2 linked regions of the Oryzias latipes genome follow. The protein of the gene in region 1 binds, or shares a complex with, the protein of each later gene. Links are inferred from orthologs where the notes say so. Each region holds a gene or a part of one and is shown on either strand. Other genes may lie near its edges. The genes, in order: prpf40a and sf1.

Evidence for each region.
Region 2: the proteins of prpf40a (region 1) and sf1 are in contact, whole or in part, in an NMR structure (PDB 8PXX), measured with the Homo sapiens proteins. The link is inferred for Oryzias latipes from reciprocal best matches to the Homo sapiens genes PRPF40A and SF1. Residues at the interface, in NP_001352526.1 of Homo sapiens: His164, Ser166, Tyr172, Tyr174, Ser181, Thr182, Trp183, Tyr213, Tyr215, Ser222, Arg223, Trp224; in NP_004621.2 of Homo sapiens: Pro575, Pro576, Leu577, Pro578, Pro579, Gly580, Ala581, Pro582, Pro586, Pro587, Pro588, Pro589, Pro590.

What each region holds. Positions count from the first base shown.
Region 1 is NC_019879.2:20,295,311-20,299,129, forward strand, and holds part of prpf40a (pre-mRNA-processing factor 40 homolog A), read right to left. Parts: intron 3,406-3,819; coding exon 3,325-3,405; intron 3,216-3,324; coding exon 3,075-3,215; intron 2,392-3,074; coding exon 2,308-2,391; intron 1,925-2,307; coding exon 1,906-1,924; intron 1,812-1,905; coding exon 1,792-1,811; intron 1,698-1,791; coding exon 1,653-1,697; intron 1,550-1,652; coding exon 1,439-1,549; intron 1,249-1,438; coding exon 1,128-1,248; intron 918-1,127; coding exon 893-917; intron 733-892; coding exon 475-732; intron 1-474.
Region 2 is NC_019876.2:29,175,141-29,179,650, forward strand, and holds the start of sf1 (splicing factor 1), read left to right. Parts: upstream 1-1,519; 5' UTR 1,520-1,670; coding exon 1,671-1,917; intron 1,918-3,606; coding exon 3,607-3,732; intron 3,733-4,510. UniProt on the Homo sapiens protein: Necessary for the ATP-dependent first step of spliceosome assembly. Binds to the intron branch point sequence (BPS) 5'-UACUAAC-3' of the pre-mRNA. May act as transcription repressor.

The sequences.
Region 1 (3,819 bases):
ACGGTAAGTAAGAGTTTGTAAAAAAAAAAAAAAAAACAACAGACACTAAAGGCTCAACTTTACCACCCCAAAATACTATTTGAAGTAATGGAAAGGCATCTTTCTTTGTCAAACTGCTGCTTGCTAATGCAAATTGGGATCAACATAAATAAAACTGCCTTTAATGTGAATGTCAATGACTTATTTATTTATCATCACTTGTAATAACTTCCAGTCTAGCTCAGTTAACATTTCTGCACTTAACTGCTTCAAAACTAACCATCATTTTAAAAGCTTAGCAATCTGTCGCATCTGTCAATAATAGGAAAAAGTTTTACAATAAAAATGAATAACTTCCTTTACTCATTTTGATGTACCTGTGGTGCACAGAAATCATTTGTTCGGATACAATCCTAAAGACTTTTAACAGTTCAGGGCTGAAAAACATAGAAATGGAACTTTTTCTTTCAAATATTAGGGCCTGTAATGTTTTACCTTGCTGTGTTCTCTGTCACAGCTGAACTCTCGGTGGAAACCACAGGTGCATCTGTGGTCTTAACCTCAGCTGCTGGATGCACGGACACCTGGGACGGTAGCTCCTCTGAGACGACTGCTGCTGCAGCAGCCGCTGCTGCCGTAGCTACAGCGGTTGTTGTTTCCACCTCCGTCACTGCAGCCAACGTAGCAGTGTTGTCTGCCTGCACTGTGGGGGTAGCAGCAGTTCCTGGGGTCACAGCCGCCGTCTCTGCTGTTCTGAAATATAAATATATATATATATAAAAAGCTCTTTTACTACCACAGATGCTTTTATGATTACCAAGAAAATGACACATTTGGGATGATGACTTTTGAAACATATCGGAAGTAAAAAAAAAGGTGTAGAAAGTAACCCAGGGAAAATTGAGAAACTTACCCGTTCTCCTCTGCTTTGATCATAGCTGGAAGAGAGAAAATGGGTTTACTGTGAGGGTTCGGCTCTCATAAGAGACGAACACCGACATGATCTCACTTAAGGAATCAATGTGTTCCTGCATTTGATCGTGTAGCGAGTCAAAATGCAGCTTATGAAAAGTGTCATTCACTAAACATCCATGGTTTGGATTTGCTTTATTCTCACACAAAAGGCTGAGGAAACGACAACTGTTTACCTTCGAGGTCCTCCAGCTCTTTGGGTTTGGTCCATCTGGATTCCTTCGTTTGAGAATTGTAGTAATATGGCTTTCCTGTGTCGGACTTGTACTCCTTCCAGTGGCATTTAGACAAAAGTTGCTACAGAGGATAAAATTCAGTGAAGTTTGATTCTGGTATAAAACCTCTTTTTAAAAGAAAAGAAATTATCTTATGCACATTAATAGCATTTTATAAACAGATTCTGACTATATTAACTTGGGACAGTACTATGAGCAGTAAGCTAAGCTGCCCAGTTCCCTCGAGCATCGTGACATGAGCGTTTTTGTACCTCTGCAGGAGATTTGAGATCGTCAGGTTTCTCCCATGTGGACTGTTTGGTCTCGGTGTTGTAATAATACGTTTTCCCATCCAGGGATTTATGTTCTGTCCAAACAGACTTCTAAAGCAGAAAACACAACAACGTTAAAGCGTCCCTTTCCGTGTTAATGCAACATTTTTGTTAGAGCCAAGGTAAAGACTTTTGTTTTGAAATGTGAACCAACCTTCTTTGGTTGCTCTTCCTGTGAAGCTCCATTTGTGGTGTTCTGCTAGAACAAAGCAACAAAAATAAATTCAGAAACAAGATGAAATATAAACAGGAAGTTAGTCAATTGTATGAAAGTAGACGCTGAATCCACTTACAGTTGTTCCCGGTGCAGCAACTGTCAAAATCAACACAAAAAGAGAGCATAGGCTTGAAATGCACATAACAGCAGTGAAGTAAATTAATCATAAAGATATCATTAAGGATTGTACCTGTTGTATCAACACCAGGCTGAAAAATAAAAATCACAGAATTAGTCACCATTTAAAAATAAGAAACATTAAGTACAAGTGATAGAAATGAAACAAAAAAGGTTTTTAGACTAGTGTTAACGCTCTAGGAAAGCAAAAACAAATTCATGCTTTTCAAAAATGTCCTCAAGTTCCAAAATCCATTTGACCCATTACATAAAACCGATAAAACACCTTCTTACTCTACAACTGAAAACAACTCGAGACTTTCATGCAGTTTTAACTTCAACTACACATTTCAACGTTATGGAATATAACCATTTTTTTGGAATTTATTTAAGAAGATATTCTTGAATTTGAAAAATAGCCATGTTTTTTTACAGTATGTTTAATAAAAAGAGGAAAAAAGATTGTGAAAATTACCGGTCCCGTTGGCTGTACAGTCGCAGCTGGGATGCGAGGAGCCATCATCATCCCTGGTAACATAGGTGGCAACATGCCTGGCATCTAATAAAAGGAGCATCATGAAATATTAATTTTGCATTTCCATACTAGCAAGTGCAGGCCTAAGCAATAACACTCTGAATGAGAAAGCATGACCGTGTAAAAGGCTTGATTTTCAATGAGGAGAAAAGAAACTTTGAAGCCAAGTATAGCAAGCTTGTCTAAATAAATCCAACCACAGCTTATGCTCTGTGAACAAACAGCTCCTTTCAGATCTGTAGGTATGTCACTTGGCATAAACTTCTTTCTAAAAATCTTTTAAAACCCAAATACATTTGTGACGGCTGTGGGGAAAAAAAAAACATTAATTCAATTCTGAAAAGTGATCTGAAGTGTTTCAATCACAATACCATGTTTTTATTGAAAAAAAAAAAACCCAAAACAATCAGATCGCATTCATCTTCACATACAGATTTTTATGGTTCATTTGAAATTTTTCTGGCAAGGTCGATTTAATCTTTGCTTTCATTTAATTAATCTATTTGTATCTTTTGATATTTATTATCGTCATTAACTATATTTCTGTTAGCATCTTAGTTTTACAAAGCTATGCTCTCAAATGTAACTTTAGTCACAGCATTAATGCAACCATAAGCTGAATAACATGAATAAATAACGGCATCCAACTTCTTGCAACACATTGCAGAAGAAGCTGCATGGGCGGTACAAATGTCATACAATCATACCTGTCCCAATGGTGGGGCTGCCATAGGAGGCATTATGCCAGGGGGCATTATACCAGGAGGCATAGGAGTCATGCTAGGTCGCTGACCCATAGGGGGCATTCCCATCGGAGCAAAATGAGGTGGTATTCCTGGCGGTCCCATCTGGTGAAGCGAAAGAGAAAAAAAGACAAACATAATTCTTATTTACTCCAAATACAACAGAGAAATAAAAAAGACAAAAACATATTTTTGAAAATTATCCATCACTCACATATGGAGGAGGTATTGTTGAGGGTGGTACAGCCGGATAAGCTGGTGCTTGGCTCGGACCATTGTTAGCTTCTGTTGAAGACTGTTAAGAAAAAGAAACAAAACACAGTCAGAACTCATAACTTGTACTTTTGGAAAGTCCCTTAAGAGTCAATTATTTAGGAAAAACCAATAAATCTAAATCCTCAAGTTTATTGACCTGCCAAAGAAAATATTTAAAGCAAAGCAGTATAGAAACAAACTAACTTAAAGTTAGCATTGTAATTACATGAGGACAAATATCATTCCTTTCATAAAAACATGCATAAGTATTTTAAAGTCAATCAGTATAAAAAAATAGCAATCCCAATATTTTGATGATACATTTACTGATATATTAAAAAATATATTTTGTTTAAACTAGTCATGACAGAATTCCTACAAAAACAGCATTTTATAGGATTTTAAAAATTGAAAGTGATTATGGTGTTAAATAAACAAATCTCATTGCTAGGAT
Region 2 (4,510 bases), on another chromosome or scaffold:
TGAGTGTTTCTGGTGTTCTTTACAGAGAGGACAGCTGGGGTCAATTGTCTTATTATATCTTAGTATGTATTGATTAGTGGAAGAGATTCTATGTAGATGTTTGTAGGAGACGTCTCTCATCGTGTTATTGATTAATAATTCCTGATCCAGAGTCCACATATTTTAGTCTGGAATAAATATTTCCCCACTAGAACGCAGCAGAGGGAACAGAAATGACATTTTGCTGAAACAGCATGACTTTTTTTATCTTAAGGGCAAAGCTGAAACAGGATTTTCCAACATTAGTGTCATTATTAGGAGATATTTTCATCAAGTTCCGTATTTTTAAAGAGCTGACAGATTTCATTAACAGCATCAAAAACAATGGCGTACTCTGTTGGAGGAACAGCAGGGCAACATTTAAGGTTAAATTCTTTCTTTCTGAGTGATTGACCATTGTGGTTAAAAAGCTGACCCACCAGTAGAATATTATTATTAAACCAATGATTGTAAAATAAAGATTTGTTCTTGTAAAGAATATATCTGTTATTCCAAATAGAAAGGTTATGAGGGGAAAAATAGTGTTTATAAATAAGAAAGAAGAATCTGTCTGTAAAAAGCAAAGAGTTTAACTGGTATTTGTCAATATTATAACTAAAGAGGAGAAGAAAATGGAGAAAACCAACATTAGCAAACATGAGATGAGGGAAAATATTCCAGATTGAGAGTGGATTTTTTTAAAGTATTATTTAATCCTTTTTATGTTAAAAGTATGATGTAACCCTTGTTCTATCCTAGGCACTTTAACATTGGGAGTTGGGTCATCTAGACCCACTAGACAGTGCTCTGAACCTTTTTTCTTCAATGATTTGTGATCTTCACTGGTGTCCACTGTGGAGGACAAACAAGTTTTTTTTTTTGTTCAACATAAAGAAAATGCTGTTTGTATCATCTGCTAATAGACGGTGGCGGTATTCAAAGAAGACAATCTATGACGACATTATGAATCCCGTCAAAAAGAGAAATATGAGAGCTTGCAACTCTCAAAGCTATAATATCTATTAAGTTATTATATGTTTGCTGATTATTATTATTTTCTTTTTTTTCCTGAAGAACCCAGAGAGAATTATTTGATATCAGATCGGGTTATAAGTGGCTTTCTGGGAAACAATAAATATTTACATTTAGGAAACCCTGCGACTGTCACACTTTTTCTGTTTCAAACGGACCCTGGCCCCCGATCAGAGGATGGAAACGTCAAGGGGCCCTCACTGGAAAAAGTTTGGGGACCCCTGGATTTATCAATTAAGGGGGCATAATTAAATAAGAATCTGTCTATACTATTTTTGGAAATAATAATGCTTAAGTCTGTTAAAGTTTCTGTTTCTTTGACAGGAACGTTACAGATTGATTGCACAGAAAATGGACCTTTTTACACTCGTTAGCCTATTTGACGTCATCAGACTGAAGACCGAATTGGCCAATCGTCTTTTAGAGTACAGAATTGAGCTCAGCCAATAGGAATTCTTCTTGTTGGATTGCTCTTCCCCGCGGTTCAACCTTTGTAATATTCTGTTAGCCGCCATTTTGAGGTAGACTGCAGGTAGATGTTGCTTTGTCATTTAGCCTTGAATAGAAGTCCGGATTGAACTGAAGCTGAACGGAGAAGAAGCCATTTCGGTGCTGCGGTAATGGCGACTGGAGCGAACGCCACTCCTCTGGGGAAACTGCACCCCAGCATCGGCGCTAAACGGGGATTTGATGCGGGGCCTGGTGCGGGCAATGGGCTGATGCCCGCGCCGGGGCCGACCGCCTCCTTCCCCGCGATGCCGGGCTTCCAGCCCGCGATGCCGAGCGCCCCATTTGCCCAGTTCAATCCAGTCGGCAATTTTCAGACCCCCGCTCAACCAGCCGCCGTGTCCGGGATGAGCAAGAGTGGTAAGTGGACCGAAAGCCGGGGGGGCTGCTAACGTTTGTCAGGCGGTACGGTGGAACGAACGAAGGCCCGCAGCCAGCGCCGCTTCACGAAATGGAGGCCGTCGCTGGTTTGTAAACAGCTCGGACCAGACAGGACGAGCCACGAGGCGAGCGTCCCGCTCCTGCGCAGGAGCGAAGCGGTAGCTACGACCCGGGTTTGGACCAGTAAAGACGAACTTTGATGCCGTAATGGAACCGGGACGGGCTGGCAGTGCCACGGATTGGAATTTATTGTTGACCTCTCCGTCGTTGCCAGTTTTGTTCGAATATAAAGTTCTTCTAGAAACATCCGTGTTCTCCCAGAGATTCGAGTCTAAAATCAAACCTTTGCACACGAAAAAAACCGAGAGTTTGAGTCAAAAAACAACAAGAAAATCGTTAAAAAGCAGCAAAAGAAACTTGGAGAAAAAGTATAAATTATTAATTAAGGAAGGCCATTAACTTAAAAATAGTATTTACACACATTTGTTTTATGCCGTTATTTAATGTGTTCTCTATTGAAAGTTACTGGTTTAAAACGTAATGCAGCAACGCGCATGCGTGTCGCTATCTGGTCACTAAACTATGGCCAGCCTTGTAGACCTTTAACAAAAAGTTCATTTATTAAAGTCCCGCTCCGATCCTCTTTCGATCTATCGTTAAAGCTTTCTCAGTGGTCTCTTAATTATGATGATGATGATGATTTTATTCCAAATCTAGAAACCTGTGTTGTTTTCTAGAACCTAGTTTCTGAAGAGCCACAGTTAGGAGTTCATTACAAATCACCTCTGAGTTGTGGGAGTGTTGGATTGGAACTTACCCTCCTTCTCTCCCGCTGGCTTACAGCCCCTCACATCACCAAGCTAACATTAGCAGTGAAACAAAAGCAGCAGCAACATCGTAGCTATCCAGCCGTACAGTTTAGATCCAGATTCCAGCTCAGGAAAACAAAGACGTTCATGGATCTATTTGTCTGACAGTGGATGATCAAGAAGGGGCGGAGCAAGAAGACTATAGCACCTACATCACCGCTACAGGCTTTTCCCAACTGCGTTTTTTGTCTGCTCCCGATTCACAATGATTTGACTTAAGAAGTAATAGAAAAGCAGCTTTAATGTTAATATTCTTCATATGTGTCCTTGGTCCTTGAGGAACTGTGAGTTGGCCACCTTTGGCCCATGAACCAGACTTTGGACATGTATATGAAGTGTAGGAAGTTTACTACTGGTAACTAAATACTGCTTCAGACTGAATTGGAACATTTTAAGTTTACATTATAGATGACATGTAAAAGTGAAATTCATGTATACTGCCTGACTTTCAGTATAGACCAAATATACTTGTAGTATACTTAAATAAACTACTTTTTGCTGAGGGTAGATTATTTCATAATAACTGGAAGTTGGTGTTGTTGCTGGATTATCTCTTTCCAGATTTGCCTGAATACTCTGATCGTTTCTTACTGCAATATTTGTAATTTCTGTGTTTGTAGAAAACATTTTTTTTTATATTACAGTGTACCTGTTAAAGGATGACGTAATGCTTGTTTAAAAAAAACAACAATACAAATCGTTTCCACTGTCATTGTTTTCATGGTGATGCTTGACTTTTGCCTTTAGCTTTGGATGATGTCATCTAAAAAAACAACAACTTTACCCCCATTTTGTGCAGATTTCGGAAAGAAAAGAAAGAAAAGCAGATGGAGCAGTGAAACCCCCGATCAGAAGACGATCATTCCCGGAATGCCTACCGTCATTCCTCCTGGACTCACCCGGGATCAAGAGAGAGCTTACATAGGTAAATGTTGCTTTATTCAGCTAAGGTTGGCTTTTAATGCTATAAATGCCATTTTCTCTCACATTTCATCCGATGTATTTTGTTAAGGTTTGGATTTTATGCAAGTGCATACCAGTGTTTATGTTGTTTTGCTAAATTCTCAACAGTTGGAGCTTTCCGCAGACTTCTACAGAATTCCTACCTTTTTTTGTTTTTAAACCAATTTTAATCTTTTTTCCACAACATTATCAAAGTGTGAGAAATCGGATTCTGTTCCAACTGTTGAGATGAAGCTGTCATGTTTAATGACCAATGATTATAACATGTTGAAGCGTTGGATTCTCTTTAAGTGGTGCTGCTGTGTCCTGTAGTCTCTTTGTTTGCATACCATTGGGCTCCCATTAGCAAGATGGGTTTTTGATATCCCAACCTCACTGCCTGCTGATATCTATTCTGAGATCCAGGTCACTGCCCAGTGTCTTGCTTGATCCTCAGCACATCATCAGTGTCGTTTCTGTGCATGAAAACATTGCAATGTTGTAACAAAAATTGGTTATTCAATAATTTTGGTTTTCTGGGGGGGGGTTCACCCTAGCATAACTTGGTCTAAGGGGTATTTCAAAGAGAGACCCTTAATGCTTCTGTTCCCTGTGGCTTTATTGAACACGTAACACAAGTCAAAAGTGAGCGTGAACACGCCGCCAAAGCTTTTTTGATATGTTATATTATAGTGACTGGTGCCCCTGACCAGCATCGGAGGAGCTTCAGGTGAACAGAAACACAAGCGACGCTTAGATTT